2 linked regions of the Tamandua tetradactyla genome follow. The protein of the gene in region 1 interacts with the protein of each later gene in a pairwise test. Links are inferred from orthologs where the notes say so. Each region holds a gene or a part of one and is shown in the gene's direction. Other genes may lie near its edges.

Region 1 (10,515 bases):
CTGAAACATCTTTTTCTATTTCTCACAAAAGTCCTAGGAGATAGGTTCTATTTGTTTTACAGATGAGGAAACTGAGGCAAAGGGATAGGCTGCTCAGAGTCACTGGCTCCAACTAGTGGAGCTGGGATTGAAACCTGAGCCTATGTCTGCAGGCCAGTACTCTATTGCCTCTCTTGTCAACAGATTACTGGGATATTAATTACATTTCTACACAACTGCCACAATAGCTCATTTTGCTTGTGACACTGCTTTTACCTGGCAGAAAGCAGTGTCTGGTAGCCTAGTGTACCAAGGCAGTTATTTGATCTCCAGAACTGAAGGGCATTTTCTCTTTAAGGAAAACCCTCCACTTACACTCATGCTTGTAGTCCAAGTACCCTGGCTACATCTGTTATATCCTCAATTTCTTGCAAAGAGTACCTCATAGTTCCACAAGAATAATTCTATATCATACTCCTAAGTCTTCCTAATTTCAAATTTTAGATGTATGTTCCTTCCTGGTCTTTGAAACATAGGCTCCTATTTATTTCTATCTCCCACTTGCCAATAACATGACCTCTGACCACTGAGCCACACTTCAACACATCCAGTGCCCTCCTAAATCCAAGCACCCAAACAGATCCTTCTGTCTCCTCAGTCTATACACCCCACCTGGTGACCTCTGATGGTACGCAAGGAGAACATGCCAGTTTCTCCTTCATCTGCAATGGAAACCCCAGGCAGATCCATCTTCAGCTCCACACGCTCCCGTTGTTTTCTCTGCTCCCGCAACAGCTTCTTTTTCTTCCTGAGGAGATGGGGTTGTAGGGATTAAACCTTTACTGTGCCCAGCTGTGAGGATTCCCTACCCATGCCCTTCACTCTCTTCCATCTTCACACACTGAGGATCTCTGTGGTAGGGTTCCTCCAGCTCCTCTCACCTCTTCAGCTCTGCCACTTCCTGTGCTTTCATCTCTGCCAGGGTCCAGTTCAGCTGTTCCTCCTCCTCCTCCTCCTTGGAGGGCTGCCTTGTGGTCCCTGCTTTTGACTCCTCTTCACCTTCTTCCTCTTCTCCTGAGCTGAGGCTGACAAAACAGTACAAGAAGTTTGGTTATTTTCTCAGATGCTTTCCCTGATGCCCAATCAGCACCTGCCCTGGTTGAGTTCCCAACTCACCTAATGTCCAGGGCCTTGGCTTGCTCTTTCAGCTTCTTGGCCACGTATCGACGAAGCTTTGTTCTCCAATTCAGCAGAGATCTGCCCCCAAAATGCTATTATTGATCTTACCATTTTCCTTTGTCCCTGCTCCCTCTTCTGTTTTAGGCCCAAACACCAAATTCCAGTCTTGAGTCACGTAAATCCCAGAGCTCAGACATACCCTGCCCCCAAACCTCTGCACAATACAACATCATGGCCTTCAAAGGTCTTTTCCTGCCCTCAGGGCTCCTGACACCTTATACCCATCCCTACCCCATACCTGAGCTCCTTGCGCCCTAGCACTTTGATGTCCTGACAGCATGCCCGTATATCCTCATTGGTAGCTGGGTGCTGGGCTAATTCTTCATCATCTAGCAAGATCTATTTGGGAGAAAGGAAAGGAGTCAGAGGAGATTCTTGGACCATATTTGTGGGGTTCCTTTATAGTCATCAATTCTTAGACTCACTTCGCTGGTCTTAGAGAGGAAGTCAACAGGGTTGGCAACTCGGAGGAAGTCTGTGACTGATGAACAGTGATAGAGAGTGAGGTCACCGTCAGCATAGCCTTCAGCCTTATGGAGAGAAATAAAGATGAGCAGCCACTTCTGGGGTATCAGGAGGACCCACCAGGGCCAACTTTCCCAGAATTCTAGGACCCAAGGGTGGCCCCATACCACAAACACACCTTTGGTTTCTTCTTAGTCACCAACTCAGTAACAGTCTTAGCCTGAACTTCAACCTCCTTGAAGGCAAATTTCGGGTCAAAGAATTTACTGTCAACCTTGTCAGGAGCTAGGAATCCTAAGATAGCAAGATATTTTTAAAAGTATGCTTTGGTTATGTCCCATCCCATCAAGATGCCACAGTGAGACACTTCAGGACTCTGTCCCCCAACAGAATCTTTAAACAACCAGCAAGAACTGGCACAAACATCTTTCTCAAAGACCCAGAAAACAGTTCAAGGACTATACTAACAGTGAGAGGCTACTTAAAAGTGGTAGGATCTTGAGGCATCCTGGCTGGTCCCTCCCCAACCCCGTGTGGATTCCTGGTCCTGGTTCCAGAGGGAGCAAGTAACTCTCATGCACATATTGGGATCACGTGTACATGGCCCAATCTGTCTGGTGATGGCCTGAGGGACTTGTAGTCTCAGAATTTGCCCTGAGTGTAGAAGCTCACAGAGCTCTCCTACAGAATGCTGTGGGAGAGCAGGCAAGTGGCTGCCTGGGGCAATGGACTGCTGCCTGTAGGACATACAGTAAGTGCTCAGAACCATGAAGAAACTGTTTCCTAGAGAACAAAGAATTTAATCCATGTAAACAGAGGAATTCTGAGGGTCACATGTGCATGCCCAAGACAAGATGCATATGCAGAAAGGATTAGGGAGACCCCCAATGCTTTAGCCTGGTGCTATTCTCTAAACTCACTGCATAAACACTTAAGAAGAGCACTTGCACAGGTAAATCTGTAAAGATTGGGAAGATGTTTCTTTTTCTCCCCACTCTTCTTATGTTAGCTCCCAGTATTCAAGGAAGGTTTTATCAACACTAGCTGGATACAGGTTTAAGGAACAAACTCAGTCTAAATTCTGATTAACACATTAAAATACCAAAATGTCCAGGTTTTAACCAAAGATTATAAAACCTACAAAGAAATAGGAAGTGACAGCCCATGCAAAGGAAAAAATTAAAATATAAGAAACCATCAATAAAGACCACCTCTGGGATATACCAAATAAAGACTAACAAAATGATCCTAAATATGCTCAAAGAGCTAAAGGAAAAAAAGTAGTAAAGGAAATCAGAAAAATGACAGATGAACACAGAGTATGAACAGAGAAAGGGAAATTTGGTAAAGGAACCAAACAAAGCTAAAGACCATAGTAACAGAAATAAAAAATTCCCTAGAGGGGTTCAATATCACATTGGAGCTGGGAGAAGAAAGAATGAACTTGAAGATATGAAAATTCAAATCATGCAGACTGAGGAGCAGAAAGAAGAATGAAGAAAAGCGAGCAAAGCCTGAGGAACTGAGAGACCATCAAGTGTACCAATATACATATTGCAGGAGTCCCAGGAAGAAAAAAGGCAGAGAACGTTCAAAGAAATAATGGCAGAAAACTTCTCAAATTAACAAAAGACATGAATATATTCATCCAAGACACCCAATGAACTTCAAACAGGATAAACCCAAACAGACCCACGATGCAGCTTATTCTGATCAAGTTGCTGAATACCAAAGATGAGAGAATTCTGAAAACCACAAGAGAAGAGCAACAAGTCACATACAAGGGAGCCTCAATGAGACTGAATGTGTATTTCTCATCAGAAACCATGAAGGCAAGAAAGTAACAGAATAACATTTTAAAGGTCTGAAAGCAAAAAAACTGCCAACTAAGAATCCCATATCTAACAAAACTGTCTACCAGAAATGAAAGATTAAGACATTTCCAGATAAACAAAAGCTGAAGGAGTTTAGTACCATCAGACCAACCTGACAAGAGATGCTAAAGAGAGGTCTGCAGATTGAAAGGAAAGGACAGAAGACAATAGATCAAAACCACAAGAATAAATAAATATTCTCTGGTAAGGAAAATGACAAGGGTAAATATAAATATCACTATGATTGTATTTCGTGCTTCTAACTCCATTTTTAACTTCCTATAGGATCTAAAAGGCAAATGTATGAGAAATCAGTGGTTTGGGACTCATAATGAGTTATGTGCATAATTTGTAATGACAACTACATAAAGGTGGGGGGATGGAGGGGTACAGGAACATAGTTCACCTATTCTATGGATCTGAGTAACTTGGGGGATAGGAATATGTTGAAGGTTCCCCCATGGGTTTGTATTATTTTTATAACTGTTGTGTAAGTTTGAAAACATTTCAAAATAAAAAAATTTTAAATTAAGAAAAAGAGTATGCTTTGGTAGTTGAGAGACTGAATCAAGGCAAAGAAGAAAGTGGTGCCTACCCTGGCAAAACACAAAGATCTCTGCAGATTCATGGCGAGAGGCTTGAGGCTTGGTGGCCTGGACACGGCGAAACAGCTGTTGGAAAATCCATAGTAGGGGCTGATAGTCACGAGAGCGGAAAACCTTTGTGATGAAGCAGCCACCACGGGCCAGAAAATCACAAGCCAAACGCAGAGCCATGAGTGTCAAATGGGCTGTGGGATAAAGACAGTCAGTTCGGGACTTCTGTAGCCTGAGAGGACATGCCCACCTCCGCCCTCACCCTCATCTCTCCCTCCCCAGGTACCTTGTGAGTAAGCATCATGGACCCAACTAGCCCCAACATTGGGTGCCCCATCATTGAGCACAACATCCACCTTCCAGGTCTTTAGCTCTTTCCTCAGGGCCTACAGAGAAGTAAAACGATTATGGCAGCAGAAACAAAGGAGTCCCTAGGAATGGAGTCCCTGGGTCAGTCATCTCCCTACTCATTTGTTGAATGCCTGCCATGAGCCAAATCTTGTTCTAGGTGCGGGGTAGACCATGGTGAACAAAAATAATGTTCCTGACTTCATGGAGCTTAAAGTCCAATAGTGGAGTTCACCAGAAAGAACTTCACTGAAGATCTCTGTCCTGTCCTCAGGTCCCAAAGACCTCATTCCCTACTCCCAAACAGAGGACAGAATAGACACTAGAAACATCACATCACGGTGCCACTGCTCAGGGCACAATATCCAGAAAAATCTTGCTTCAGTGGATTTGAGTGAGAAGAGGAAGTAACACGGATGTCTACATATAAAGGAACAAGAAGAGAGGGATTCTTATTACCTGTCGACAGCGTTCTGTTGTGATGTCCTCCTGGAGTGTCACCACACTGGGGAGAGGCTTGATTGGAACCAGGTCCACACCTGGAAGAAATCAGGTCAAAGTATTCCAAAGGGCTGCCCCGAAAAGGGAGGAAGGAAGAGTACAGAGATAATATCTCACATTCCCACCCCTTAAAACACCCAAGAGAGCCACCTGTCACTCACCCACAATAAGGCTGGACACAGGCATAAACTTGGAAGCCACCTGCAGCCTATAAAAGAGAAACAGCATTTTTAAATACCCAATGTGATCTGTCACCGCTAGTGGAGGGAGCCCTTATCAAGTGCAGTGGCCAGAGTCTGTCAAAGGTACACATTCCCAGCCTCTTCTCTGCAATCAAAAAAAAAAAAAAAAAAAAAAGACCACCAATGTTTAGGAGAAATCTATGCTCAGAGATAAGAAGTTTGAGGCTGGGATTATTGTATATAGAGAGAAGAATGCAGGAAGCATCCCAAATTCATCCCTCCCCCAACGCAACTCCCAATCTAAACCACCCAGGACTAAAAACCCGAAAAACACTATCAAGCGCGACCCGTGAAGGGTGTTATACGCACCATCCTCCTGGCGCGGCACACAGGTCCAGCAAGGCTCGAGCTTTCTGGAGGAACTGGAAGCGGCGATTGAGTTGGATTAGCTTGAAAGCAGAGCGGGAGCGATAACCTGAGAAGCGGCGACAAAACAATGAAGTCTATGCAGGGTTTTATGAGATATTTCTCCGCAGCCTCACGACACACGACCGTCAGCGGAAGAGGAATCTAATATTCGGGAAAGGGGAGCGGAAAGACCCAAGATTGTATGTTCGCTAACTGCAGCGCGAACTCTGACTCACCGGTCTCCTTCGCCAAGTGATAGAACTTATCCCGCCGACTCTTCCCAACTTTGCCCTTCTTGCCCATGGTGAGATACTCGAGTGTCACTCAATCTGGAGAGAAAGTGCGACAAGTTGGGAACGTCTCCTCCCAAGCAATATATTACACTTTCGGTGCCTTACTTTCTCAAACAATCACACGCCGCATGCTGCTCCACCTCACTCACCAGGATCTTGCGTCGTTTCCGCCACATTTAGGAACCGCGAGCCGCAAACGTACTTCCGCTTCCGCTTGTGCCCCTTACGTCCCCGGTTCCAAGTTTTCCACCATTTTGAGAGTGGCCATAACTTTGTTCTATACACGGTCCACAAGTTTTATAAATTGAAAGTTAGGACCAGGAGGGTGAACTAAAAACGGAGCTTCTAGAAAACAACATTTGGGAGGTCTGTCCCATCCTTGTCTCCTTCCAAAACTCCCGACTCGAGAAATTATAGCATCCCGGCCCCTGTTACCCTTCTGCACACCCCGCCCATTGACCCGGAACTCTTCTTTGTACCAGCCCTCGGTCTTGTCCAAGCCGCTGCTTGTGCGCTTGCGCACCAAGATTCCTATGCCCGCGGCCTCCTCTGAAGAATGAAAATGGCGCTTGATGGGCCAGAGCAGGTATGTTGATGTCGGCGGGTCAGAAACCCAGGCTGGGTGGAGAGCGGGCGTGAACCGAGATGGGTATCAGGCCGGGGCAAGATGGTTAGGGTGAACAGGTGGGCCAATACAGACTGGGCCTTGCCTGGGACCGATTCTGCTATGTCAGCGCCGCCCCCGGTGAATGAGGGCAGGGCCATGAGAGGAAGACTCGGTGGGAATAAGTGAGAGGAGTGATGGGAGTGCATCGGGACCAGCCGCGAGTTGCAAGTAGGTTGGGGACAGAGCACCCGTCCTTCCTGCCCTCTCCGCTTGTAACACCTCGGGTTTGTATGGCGATCGACGCTTTACAAAGCTTTCAATGTATACCGTTTCTTGAGCCTCCTGCTTTCATTTTATTTTAGTCATGTGAAAATGGGGTGGGGGGTTGCAGAGGGGTTCAGAAGGGATTAGAATCCAAATCTTATGCTCCAGTGTCCAAGCTCTTTTTTACCGCATAAAGCTGCCTGTTATTTATGCCTTGTGGTTTTTAATCATTTGGATGCTTAGCCTGTTGTTGTTTAATAATTATGGTGTCTTCAGATGGAGCTGGAAGAGGGGAAGGCAGGCAGTGGACTCCGCCAATATTATCTGTCCAAGATTGAAGAACTTCAGGTGAGGACGGATTCCACAGGGAGTTGGGAGGGGAATGATTGCTTGAAACCCATTTCTGCAAATCCATGAATTCCATCCCAGGGTGCAGTGGAAGAGTCTTATTCCTTTCCTTTTCTTGTTTCTTTTTAGTTTTTTGAGAGAGGTGTACATTTAAGAAGAACTAATGCACTGATAAGTTGAGTAGCTTGAAATACTAGTGGTCAGTGAGAGGGAGGGGTAAAGGGTATGGCATGTATGAGTTTTTTTTTTTTAATTTCTTTTGCTGGAGAGATGCAGATGTTCAAAAAAAATGATCATGGTGATGAATACACAACTATGTGATGATATTGTGAGCCATTGATTGTAACCATGTCAAGAATGTTTGTGTGTTTGTTATTTACAATAAAAATATTTTTTTTAAAAAGTACTAAGCCAACAATATAAAGTATATGAAATTGATGATCTCTTGTTCTCTTGAAGTCCCACCCCTTTGAGGGTAGTCAGTATTCACAATTTGTTATACATCTTCAGGAGTCAAACTGAAAGAGGGCTAAATGAGAGAATTTCTTATAGAAGGCAAGATAGAGGTCCAGGAGATGAGTCTTACCAGAGTTTGGAGCAGGTGAAATTAGTGTGAGGGAAAACAGCATTGTGGGCTCTGGACAATGCTTATTTTATGGGACTGAATAAAAAGGAATTGACCACCCAGGGCTGTTGCCTTAAGAGGGGGCAGGGACCATAGAAATAAGAAAAGTATATAAATTAGATGGGGGAGAAGCCACATGGAAAATTTCGGGACTCAAGGTACATTTGCAGGTATTATATTTTGTGTATCATTTTGAAAATGCTATTATATATTTCATTTGTTCTTCACCATAGTTCTAAAAAGCAGCAGAGTATGTGATGCTATACTATGTATCTGGAAACAGATCTTTTAAGTAGCATGCCCTAGCTTTACCTAGCTGGCAGTGGTCAGGCTACAACTCCAGTTTCTGGCTTAAAAGCTAGAAATCTTTCCACCACACCATGTTGCCTCCCCCAGAATTCACTACATGAACCAGCTCTAACTTTTCTTCATTAGGGTCTATTATTTCTGGACCAGTATTGGACAAATAGCCTTTTTTGATAGCTGCCCCATAGTCCAGAGGGATTCTTGGAGGACAGAACAGGGTCATTAGAATATTAGAGAATCTGAATAACGTATAGGTTCCCTGTGCCCTTCCCTCACTCAGCTCATACCTACTTATGAAGGGTTTTGGTCAAGCTCTACCTTGCTAACTTCTGCCCTTGGGTAATGCAATATCTGTCTCTTGTCCTCTATAGCTGATTGTAAATGACAAGAGTCAGAACCTCCGGCGGCTGCAGGCACAGAGGAATGAGTTAAATGCAAAAGGTGAGGGGGGAAAGATGGGAGGGCTGCATGTGGGCAGTGGCTAAGGTTTGACTGTTCCTGGTCTCTGAACTGTCTCTGTTCCCGTCTGTCTGAACAGCAGTGCTTATTGTTTTCTCCCAATCCAAGGTAATGTTTTGCATTGTCTTCATGTAGCTGTTTCACATGCACATTACTTTCCTGAGCTATAACCCCTTAAAGATAAGTATTGTTGAGGGTTTTTTGTGATCTTCCCTTCAGAATTTCAAAATGTTCATGCTTGAATTGAATATGGGTGAAAGAATACCATTGTAAGTGACCATTATGTCTGTTTTCCTACCTAGTTCGTCTGTTGCGGGAAGAGCTTCAGCTGTTGCAGGAACAGGGCTCTTATGTGGGGGAAGTTGTCCGGGCCATGGATAAGAAGAAAGTGTTGGTTAAGGTAAAGGTGATATGACCCTGGGGACCAGCCTCAATTGCTCATTGCATCCCTGCCCCTTTGTGTGAATTCTTGAAAGGATCGTGTTCTGTCATGTTACTGTAGGACTCTCATGGGTCTTCCTGGGTAGGGTTGCTAATTTGGAGGCTTTCAGGGAAGGTCATGAACACTTGTTTCTTTTAGGTACATCCCGAGGGCAAGTTTGTTGTAGATGTGGACAAGAATATTGACATCAATGACGTGAGTAAGGCAGGTAGTGGGGATAAGGGTCAGCTCCCACTGGACCACTTCCTGAAACTATTTTGCTCCCCTTGCCCAGGTGACACCCAATTGCCGGGTGGCTCTAAGGAATGACAGCTATACTTTGCACAAGATTCTGCCCAACAAGGTAGACCCATTGGTATCATTGATGATGGTGGAGAAGGTGCCAGATTCAACTTATGAGATGATTGGTGGATTGGACAAGCAGATCAAGGAAATCAAAGAAGTGATAGAGCTGCCTGTTAAGCATCCTGAGCTCTTTGAAGCCTTGGGCATTGCACAACCCAAGGTGAGGACAGGGCTTCTTTGAGAAGGCCGTGCTGTGCTGTATCACTCCCACCCTAGGCCAACCCCTCTCCACTGGAGAGGCTGGGGGTGTGATGTTTCCAGGGCTCTAGGGTGATTTGGATTTAAGCTCCAGAAGGGACCTTGACATTCAGTTTTTGTATCCCTAGTCTCTAGCATGCCACAGTGGGCATTCAGCAGATGTTCATTGGATGAAATGAGGAGGCTGGCTTATATTCTGAGTCCCCTTATATCCCTCTAGGGAGTGCTGCTGTATGGACCCCCAGGCACAGGGAAGACACTGTTGGCCCGGGCTGTGGCTCATCATACGGACTGTACCTTTATCCGTGTCTCTGGCTCTGAATTGGTACAGAAATTCATTGGGGAAGGTAACAGTGGCTAGGAACATGAGAACCAAGTGGAAGCGAGGGAGGCAAAGGTCCCATCAGTTCTTAACACCAGCTTGGCCTCTGCACAGGGGCAAGAATGGTGAGGGAGCTCTTTGTGATGGCTCGAGAACATGCTCCATCCATCATCTTCATGGATGAAATTGACTCCATTGGCTCTTCACGGCTGGAAGGGGGTTCTGGAGGGGACAGTGAGGTACAGCGCACAATGCTGGAGCTTCTCAACCAGCTGGATGGCTTTGAGGCCACCAAGAATATCAAAGTAAGTACTCTGAATGAAAGGAAGGCCCTGGCTGACTTGCAAGTTGAAGAAGAGCTTGGCTGATGCTCTCCCCACCCCCTCTCTGCTCAGGTTATCATGGCTACTAATAGGATTGATATCCTAGACTCAGCACTGCTTCGTCCAGGGCGCATCGACAGAAAAATTGAATTCCCACCCCCCAATGAAGAGGTTTGTGATGGGTGATGCTGGGAGTGGCTCTGGCTCTGGAGTTAGAGGGATGAAGCTCAGGCCTTTCCTCTCTGGTCTCTAGGCCCGGCTAGACATTTTGAAGATCCATTCTCGGAAAATGAACCTAACCCGGGGGATCAACCTGAGAAAAATTGCTGAGCTTATGCCAGGAGCATCAGGGGCTGAAGTGAAGGTAGTTGGACTACCGAAAAATAGTGGC
Region 2 (9,528 bases), on another chromosome or scaffold:
CTACAATGTTATGTGTTAGGTCAGGGGCGGGGAGTGGGAGGAGAATAGACGAGAGTGATTAATAGAGGCCACATCACAAAGGACTTTGTGTGACATGCTAAAGAGATTGGTTTTTATACTGAAGGTGACGGGAAGCAAATGAAGAATTTTAAGCAGGGGAGAGACACAATCAAATTTGCATTTTAGAAATAGCAATAGCATGAAGGATAAGTTGTTAAGAGATGAGGCTGGGAATTGGGAGGATAATTTAATAGGCTACAGCAGTAATAAGAGGAAAATGATGAGAGCCTAAATGAAGCTAAGAAGTAAGGGGCACGTAGAGGTAGAAATGACAGGTCATGACACTGGCATTTTTAGGGAATGAGGGAGAGAAAGGCAACCAGGTGATTTCCCAGCTTTTGGCGTGGCAACTGAGAGAGGGTGGCAGTAGAGGGGAAGAAAACAAAAGAGTAAGGGGTTGAACATGTATTGACTTCCTTTTACATTACAGGCACTATGTAAGGAATTTTACATATATTACTTCATCTGATCTTCACAATAAGCCTGGAGGGTGGATGTTATCAATATCAACCTTCATTCCAAGATAAGAAGTTCAGAGAGCATCACCCCACCAGGCCTCGAACACTGGAGAAGTTTTTCAGATCCTGGCCTAAGACTGGCATGTTGGAGGACTGTGAGGATGTCAGTTAACCCTGGAAACCTGTCATCGTGGAGCAGATCCCTGGCTCAGTCTGCTCCACGGTAGGGACCTTGAGACTGGGGGAGCATTTCTGTACATAGAACAGCAAGCTCAGAAAGGTATGCCCCCCAGGCAAATCCATTTCAAGAGAATTTCAAGATGGACTTCTCTAAGAATAATGAGGCTCTGCCCTGAGCCAGAGCAGCTGTCTTCCAGACTGGACCTCACCTAAGATTCCACGATGACATCAGAAAAGGAAGTCTGCCTCCTTTCCCAGGTCTGGAGCTGGCCCAGCCTGGTGGTAGCTGACTCCCAGGGTCTCATGGTCTCAGCTGTTTCAAACAAGTAGGGAAGGAGTAAAAATGTGATTCAACTAGCAAAAGCCAGAGCCAGAATTTGAACCTAAGTCCGTATGACTTGAACCTAAGCCCATGCTCTTTCCACTTCCTCATACTGGGCTAGTTATCAAATTAGGTAATATAAGAAAAGTTTGTTCGGAGGGTAGGGTGGTTATTGACAGTGAATTCCTTTTTAGACATATTGAATATCAAATGCCTACATGACATCCAAGTGGGTCTAATAAATTTTGGGATATAATGATCCTTGTGCAAGTTGTTAAATTTCTCTGAGCCTCAGTTTTATCATCTGAAAAATGATATTACCTATCTTATAAGTTAATATAGGTATGTATTCTTACACAGTACTCTCCATGGATCGGGCATTCAGTAATATTAAATGAATGAATCAATTAATAACTATAATATTATACATAATCTTTGCATACAATTTAGAGTTTGATTATATACTTTCTTGCAAGATCCAGGAGTTCAATTTATTTCTGCAGTCTCCATAATTAGACTGCGCCTCTGTAATAGTACACTGTCTTTTATCCCTCCCCATAGTGCCTAACTACACAGTGACACTTAATAACTTATTGCTAGAGTAAATTGATGATGGTGGAAGTGTATTGGGGCCCTAGTATAAAGGACCCTTGTCTTCCTCCTGTAGTCTCTCTTTCATTTGGTAGTACCACCACCTACTCAATCACCCAAGCTAGAAACCTGGATCATCTTAACTCTTTCCCCATACTCCTCAGCCCAGACATTCTGTAATCACCAAGTTTCAATGATTTCACCTCCCATGTATTCTTAAAACACTCTCCTCCCCTACATCCTACAATTTTTTCGGCTCAGGCTTAATCTTCTCTCACCTACATCAAGGTAATAGCTTTCTAATTGGTCTCTTTGTCTTCAGTCCTGCCCCCTCATGTACATCATCCAAACAGCCAGCAGAGTGAGCTATCTAGAACACAGATCTGAGCATATAACTTTACAGTTTAAGACCTTTAAAGAGCTTTCTGATTGTGATCATTTGAATCATGCATGCCAACTAAAGCCATGCTCTTAATCTGCATTCCTGTGGGTGTGAACCCATTTGTAAATAGGACGTTTCGAAGATATTTGCATTATTTAAGGAATGGCCAAACTGAGTGAGAGTAGTGGGTCTTAATCTGTATTACTGGAGACCTTATTGAGAGAGGAAATTTGGGATCAGTGAGAGAAGATGGAACTCAGAGAAAGCCACAGGAAGAGCCCAAAGACCTCTTCATGTGACAGAGGCAGAAGAACAAATCAAGGAACCCCAAAGTTTGCAGTAAGCCATCACCATAATGCTTCAGACTTCAGGGAGAAAACATCGCCTTGCAGACATCTTGACTTGAGACTTAGGTACTCTAAAACCATGAGTCAATAAATTCTTATTGTTTAAGCCAACCCATTGTGTGGTATTTGTCACAGCATCCCTGGCATACTAAGACACTAAGTATCATGGTCAGGTTCATGTGTCAACTTGGCCAAGTGGTGGTACCTGTTTGCCTGGCTGGGCAGTGCTGGCCTGTCTGTTGCAATGAGGACATTTCATAGAATTAGATCATGATCACGTCAGCTGTATCCACAGCTGATTCCATTTGTAATCAGCCAAGGGGAGTGTCTTCTGCAGTGAGTGATGCTCAATCTAATCACCAGGAGCCTTTTAAGGAGGATTCAAAAGAGACAGGCTCTCTTCCTGCTTTGGCTGGCGAGCCTCTCCTGTGGAGTTCGTCCAGACCCTCCATCTGAATCGTCAGCTTCACAGCCTGCCCTGCGGATTTTGGATTCTGCGTTCCCGCCGTCACGTGAGACACTTTTATAAATTTTATATTTGCAAGTGTTCCCTGTTGATTCTGTTTCTCTAGAGAACCCTAACTAATACACTAAGACACTAAGCTCTTAGCCTGACACATAAAATCTTCCACGATCTGAACCTCATATTCCATCTCTATAGCCGTATCTCTTTGTACCCCCAGCCTGAGATGTTATGTTCAGTAAGAGAGGACTATTTATGGTTCAACCCTATTCACTATTTTGTCTCTGGCTTTTTTTAACTTCTCAGGTTGTACCCTCTGCCTGGACTGCCTTACATCTTCATCTGGCTAACTCTTAATTATCCTTTAAAAATTAGTTCAGTTATCAATCCTCCAGGAAGCCTCCCCTGTCCCTCCTCAACACCCCTTTGCCAAAGCAGGATTAGGCAAAGAGGGACTACTCCTCTGTAGTCCCATAGTGCTCTGTGCCATCATTAATCTGACTACATTTCTTTATGCCTGCTTAAAGGTCTGCTGCCCCCACTAGCATTTCAATTCCTTGCGTGTAGAAGAGCATCTTCTTCTTTGTATTCCTATTTCTAACACATAGTAGGTTCTCAGTCATTATTTGTTGATTGAATCAAATTCTCTCAGTCACACTCAAGCAGCTACTAACAGATGCACACACGTAAATATATTCATCAACTCCCAAGCAATCAAATCCAAGCACCTGTGCCCTCTGGAACTCAGCTTCTTTTAAAATGCAAATTTATGCACAGTGGATGCTGTACCACTTGGAACTAAGGGGTTCATCAACTCATTCCGGCGACGTGAACCTTTTGAAAGCAGTCTCTCTCTCTCTCTCTCTCTCTCTCTCTCTCTCTCTCCTTCTCCGCCTATCTGTAAGTGTGTGTGCACACGAGTGTGTGGATGACTCCAGCCTGCACTTGGCGTTTTTAACTCATCTTTACAGCCTCATTAATTATAACTTAAATCAACTGAGGAAGCAAAAGGCATGATAAAAGGAATATTAGAAAAATGCTTATTTCCAGCAGCTGGAGACTGTGCAGTGTGGGAACAGCAAATACCTAGGGAGATGTGCAGTGAGAAGGACCTTTCAAATGGGAAAACTGAGATTTTGGACTTGATTCCAGGGTAGGTGGGATCAGATTTGTGATGGGAAAACGTGCTGCTTCCTTTACCTACTTGATTCGACATTTATTTCCGAAACACGAAGACCATCCCCAAAACATCCAAATGCCTTTTGAAATTACTTCTATTCACAGATGTTGGGACGGTATGCATGCGCATGCGTGTATCATACCTACAATATAACACACGCACGCATAGGTATACTTTACACTTGCAAACATATTCTGCAGTACCAGTGGAACACTGGACTCCTGTTTATGATTTTCTTCTTTTCTGATTCTTAAATTTATTAATTAGAAGTTCATGAGTCCTTCATCTTGGGTAAAAGCTAAATAATTTTTTGAACCCAGTGCAAAATGAAAATGTTCAAAAATTATTGCGAATTTCAGGATGGCAACAGCACAGCATTAAACAAGCGCAGGGTCCCTCTGAGAGTAGCCTTTGTGCTACTCTATGGGTCACATGTCCGAGAAGCCAGCTCAGATTCAAGAGTCCTCAAATCAACCCCAACTACCCCTAAATGATTAGAGGCCACTCTTATTTAATTCTCAGACCTCCCTAGTTAAGAAATGGGACTCTTTCTAGCTCTTTGCATAGACTTTTAGTTGGACTCTGGTTTCTTTTTAAAAACTTTCTTTTTGGGAGCTTTGTGGAATTGTTACTACTGTTCTTTAACTACTGACTCGTGAATAAGAGTGCGCTGCCTCCCTCTCCCCAGATTGCCCAAGAACCTCATAAAAAGCAAGCTGAAGATTTGGGCCTGAAGCTCAGAAGTACGGAAAATCTACATGGATCTGATAAGGAGCAGTTTATAATGAGCCATGAACTCCCCACTATGCATCCCCCACCCTGGGTCCCTCCCCATGTGCCAGGGAAAAGCACCATGGGCATGCTGGGAAAACCTTTGCCCTGGGTCCAGAGTCTGCGCCCCACTTAGGTAGTCACTGAGAGCTACTGGAGGCCACATACAACAGAAGTCCCTTGTTTTTCAGGTACTGAGAGCCACAATCCCTGACTCCAAGCGATGGCAGCTCCTGAGATGAGAGGGAAATCAGAGGAAGCGTGAGAGTTTGGGGAGACACCCAATCCTGTGGCGTGCAGGTGGCATGCTGCCTAAGAGGGGCAGGTAGGAAATCTGCTGAGGACCAGACACCAAAGCCAAAGTACCAGTAATACTGGAGGGACAGGGCCAGGGAAGGGTTGGGGAAACGCTCTGCAGAATAGAATAAAGAGGGTTAAGGGTGGCCCAGAGCTGACTGTTAATCCCTCTCACATTCAAGGGTCTGTAAAGGTGACCCCAACACCTGATGCCATGGCCAGTGGGGAAGATGAGCCGAGGGACTGTGTGGTATGTGGGGACCGAGCCACAGGCTACCACTTCCATGCCCTGACTTGTGAGGGCTGCAAGGGTTTCTTCAGGTGAGAGCCTCTTTCCCAACAGAAACAACCCCCCAAATTGCCTGTCAGTCAGCCTTGAAGCCCCGGCACATGCCCAAGCTTGTCTAGCTGCGTTACTCCTGCATCTGAGAGCCCACCTACCCAGGGGCTAGCATGCCACGTCACACCAATCCAACGCTGTATAACCAGGTGGCATGATAAGAGAGAAGGCTGAACGTTTGTCTTACAGGCACACCAAATCAGTCAAGAATACTTAGTATGTGCCCACTACCTGCAAATCATGGAGCTAAGTGCTAGGCTTTCCTGAGTAATCCTGTGGTCCCATGGAAATGCTTGAGATGTGCCATACCCTATCCACCTCTGGGGACTTGTGGACACAGCCCAGACTAGCCCACCTTACCAGAGATCCCCAGGACTTTTAGACCATCTCCTCTCAGCCTCTGATGTACCCAGCCACCTGGTGACTGCCATCCCTGTCCCTAACAATGTTTCTTTCTCTTTCACAGACGAACAGTCAACAAAAGCACTGGTCTTACCTGTCCCTTTGCTGGAAGCTGTAAGGTCAGCAAGACCCAGCGGCGCCATTGCCCAGCCTGCAGGATGCAGAAGTGCCTGGATGCTGGCATGAGGAAGGACAGTGAGTTGGCGCCTTACCATCCCGTGAATCCACAGACTCTGTCTCTGTTTGTCCTTGCTCCTTATAGCATGTGGTCTACATAACAGCCAGGGCAGGGGGTGGGGGGGTGGGGGTGGGTACATGGGGAGAATAAGCTTTATAGAAAACAAAGTCATATTATGTCACTCTTCTGCTCATAACCTTCAGTAATCCTCCATCTTTCTTAGCGTATATGATCTCATGATCTCCGTAGTCCAGCTGCCCCACCCGGCCTCTCAGATTTTATTTCCCACTCTATTCGCCTTGCTCAGTCCATTCCAGCCACAATAACTTCACTGTCATCCTCAAATGCACCACGCACACTCTCCCCAGGATTTTCGCACTTACTATTTCTCCTCTACCTGGGATGCTCATACCCCAGATACTTATGGGGCTTGCTTTTTCCTTTCTACCTTCTGAATGGAGTGCCTGTTACCTAGCAGGTATTCAGTAGTTGTTGAATTATTTAATGCTTTCCTTGTGTTGGGCAGCTATTCTGTGCTTCCAACAGATGATGTAAGTGGAGATTTTACTCCAGTTACGTGCCCAAGATCATTCAGCTAAAAAGTTGCAGAGCTAGGATTCAAACTCAACTCTGTCTGACTCCCAAGTTCTGCTTTTTTCCATGACATCACACTATTTTTTGATATGGAGCAAAGGAAAAGAAGCTGTAGAAGTTGAAAAAGATCTTGGTTTGAACTTAACATATATCACTTGAATATTTTGTGACTTGGACCTATCCCAGGAATCTTTCCCTGTTTTACTTCTCTGAAAAAATATGGATATTAATACCTGTCCTATCTCCCCATAGGGTTATTTAATCCAGTGAGATTTAACCTAAGAATCTTTGAAATTATAGTACTATGCAAACATAAGGTGTTTAGGTTTCATGCCCCATCCCCCATCATAGATCCCCCAGGAGCCACAATTCCTTATACTTTGCCCACTCTGCTGCCCACCCTCCCCTCCTCTTCCATGGTGTTTCCTGCTGTGGTGCCAGTGTGCAGGGATCCCCTACCACTTGGAGCCTCTAGGCTTCAGCAAGAGCCAGGAAAGTCTCAGCCCCCTCCCTGCTTCATTGCGCCAGACCAAGGGCTGGCAGAGATAGGTGCTCTGTGCTGATTTCAATAGCTTCGTCCTGTATTTTGCCTGGACACAGTGATCCTGTCGGCAGAAGCCCTGGCACAGCGGCGAGCAAAGCGGGCCCAGCGGCGGGCCCAGCAAGCACCCATGCAGCTGAGCAAGGAGCAGGAAGAGCTGATCCAGACATTCCTGAAGGCCCACACGCGTCACGTGGGCACCATGTTTGAGCAGTTCGTAAAGTTTGGGGTAAGCACGTGGAGGATCTGGGCAGGAGAATTACCAAAAGGGTGCCCGAGGAGGCTGGCCTAGGGGAGGGGGCTCTGTCCCAGGCACCAATGGACAGGATTTCTCTAGTACCCAGCCTGGACAGGTTCTTCAGCCCAGAACCCTTCCAAGGCAAGGCTGGAGAGACCTAAAGGTGAGTCCTGGTGTCAGGGCCTCTCACTTTCGCTCTGACCTCTGCAGCCTCCAGCTCATTTGTTCATTCAACACCAGCCTTTGCCGACCCTAGCCCCCGTGCTACCTCTGCTCACACATTTTGCAGACATCAACACTTTCATGGTGCAGCAAGTAATCAAGTTCACCAAGGATCTGCCCTTTTTCCGGTGAGTGACTCACCATCACCTTTCAGGAACCAAATACTCCAGTAAACCCCTCAGCCTTTCTAAGTACCAAAACTCAACCCCCAACTTTGGTTTTAAGTGCCTCAGTCAGGCCTGGGAGTTCCTCTCCTCTGAAGTCCAGGCTGGTCTGAGGTGCCCTTGTACCCTGTTCCCCACAGGTCCCTGCCCATGGAGGACCAGATCTCCCTTCTCAAGGGAGCAGCTGTGGAAATCTGTCACATCGCACTCAATACCACTTTCTGTCTTCGAACACAAAACTTCCTCTGTGGGCCTCTTCGCTATACGATAGAAGACGCAGCCCATGGTGAGATGGCACTGGAGCTGCAGAGGGCACGTGGCCATGCGGTCTGGTATGTGGTGAGGTGACCAGGTGGATCCTAAACCTAGTATCTCCCGCAGTGGGATTCCAGGTAGAGTTTTTGGAGCTGCTCTTTCGCTTCCACGGGACACTGCGGCGACTGCAGCTCCAGGAGCCTGAGTATGTGCTCATGGCTGCCGTGGCCCTTTTCTCTCCTGGTGAGCATCCCCCAAAGCCCAGAAGCTTTTGCTTCACCACCTCTGCCCAAACTCCCAGATCCTAGAACCCATCTCCCCCAGGCTTCTTCAATCCAAGCTTAGCCTCCCTGGGGCACCGTGCAGGCCTGCCCCCGCCCCCGCCCCCAAACTTGCCTAACTCAGCTCCCCATCCTACAGACCGGCCTGGGATTACCCAGAGAGAGGAGATTGATCAGCTGCAAGAGGAGATGGCACTGACTCTGCAAGACTACATCAGGGGCCAGCAGCCCAGGCCCCGGGCTCGGTATGGTGGGAGGCTGAGAGACTGGAGGTCTCAAAGTTCTCAGGATGAATGCTTTGTACTTTCCTTTCCTTTGAGAAACCAGGTCCCCTGGGGGTCCAGTCATTCTCTCTGGTCATTCCCATCCCACACAGTTCCAGCATCCACATTGCTCCTGCTGCTGTTTCATCTCATTTTTTCCAGATTTCTTTATTCAGTAGAGATGCAAAGTATGTAGCTCACAGGCCCTGAATAGCAGCATTCCTGAGATTGAGGACATCCCCCAACTTGCCAACCCAACTTCTGACTACAGCAGGCTTACCGGAGTACTATTCATTCCCTTTCCTTAGCCCTCCCCCTCCTCTCCATTGACCCAATTCCTTTAATTTTTCATTGCCTGTGAAGTTACGGTCATTCACAGTTTCACAGTCCTGGCTCAAGAGTCCATGCTCTATCTAGGCTCTGAGGTCCACTCCACTTCCTTCTTGCTTAGTCCTCAATGAGCCAGTTTGGCCAGGAGAGGGATTCTTTATATAATAGAAGACACCCACCATCTAGAACCTGCTCTAGAATCTCAGACCCTCAGATTCCACACGGTTGAAGTTCTGGCCAAATCTAGGCTTTTTCACACTTGGCCCTCAGAGCCCTGGATTTGGGGGGAAATGAGCATGGCGAGAAAAGACAGTGTCACACAGGGGCCCCCTTGAGGACCTTTGGAACCTTTGATCAATTTGTTATCCAGAACATGATTTTCTCTGGTGTTCAGACCTCGCTTCACTAAGGGGGGGGGCAGTTCAGGTGACCAGGGCCTCAGGACAAGACTACCAGCGGACTTATTTCTCCGCTCTTTCTCTGGTAACCCCGCTGTTTCCTCCGAAGGTTTCTGTATGCGAAGCTGCTGGGCCTGTTGGCTGAGCTCCGGAGCATTAATGATGCATATGGGCACCAAATTCAGCACATCCAGGGGCTGTCCGCCATGATGCCTCTGCTCCAGGAGATCTGCAGCTGAGGGCCTGGCTCACCTCCTTCCCCAGCCCATCG

What was found. The genes of interacting proteins can lie anywhere in the genome.
Region 2: the proteins of PSMC5 (region 1) and NR1I3 interact in a two-hybrid assay, tested with the Homo sapiens proteins (2 studies listed by BioGRID). The link is inferred for Tamandua tetradactyla from reciprocal best matches to the Homo sapiens genes PSMC5 and NR1I3.

The regions. Positions count from the first base shown.
Region 1 is NC_135332.1:4,993,190-5,003,704, forward strand, and holds the start of PSMC5 (26S proteasome regulatory subunit 8), read left to right. Parts: upstream 1-6,125; 5' UTR 6,126-6,251; intron 6,252-6,367; 5' UTR 6,368-6,441; coding exon 6,442-6,471; intron 6,472-7,032; coding exon 7,033-7,104; intron 7,105-8,406; coding exon 8,407-8,476; intron 8,477-8,796; coding exon 8,797-8,894; intron 8,895-9,074; coding exon 9,075-9,131; intron 9,132-9,210; coding exon 9,211-9,441; intron 9,442-9,699; coding exon 9,700-9,826; intron 9,827-9,915; coding exon 9,916-10,106; intron 10,107-10,196; coding exon 10,197-10,295; intron 10,296-10,377; coding exon 10,378-10,488; intron 10,489-10,515. Other genes in the region: pre-rRNA 2'-O-ribose RNA methyltransferase FTSJ3, read right to left, coding at 652-787, 921-1,064, 1,156-1,236, 1,457-1,557, 1,644-1,748, 1,862-1,977, 4,153-4,347, 4,440-4,539 and 4 more.
Region 2 is NC_135330.1:14,357,715-14,367,242, reverse strand, and holds the start of NR1I3 (nuclear receptor subfamily 1 group I member 3), read left to right. Parts: upstream 1-4,874; 5' UTR 4,875-5,079; intron 5,080-5,233; 5' UTR 5,234-5,265; coding exon 5,266-5,372; intron 5,373-5,857; coding exon 5,858-5,988; intron 5,989-7,165; coding exon 7,166-7,335; intron 7,336-7,554; coding exon 7,555-7,694; intron 7,695-7,870; coding exon 7,871-8,016; intron 8,017-8,111; coding exon 8,112-8,228; intron 8,229-8,399; exon of another isoform or gene 8,400-8,405; coding exon 8,406-8,511; exon of another isoform or gene 8,512-9,366; coding exon 9,367-9,496; 3' UTR 9,497-9,528. UniProt on the Homo sapiens protein: Binds and transactivates the retinoic acid response elements that control expression of the retinoic acid receptor beta 2 and alcohol dehydrogenase 3 genes.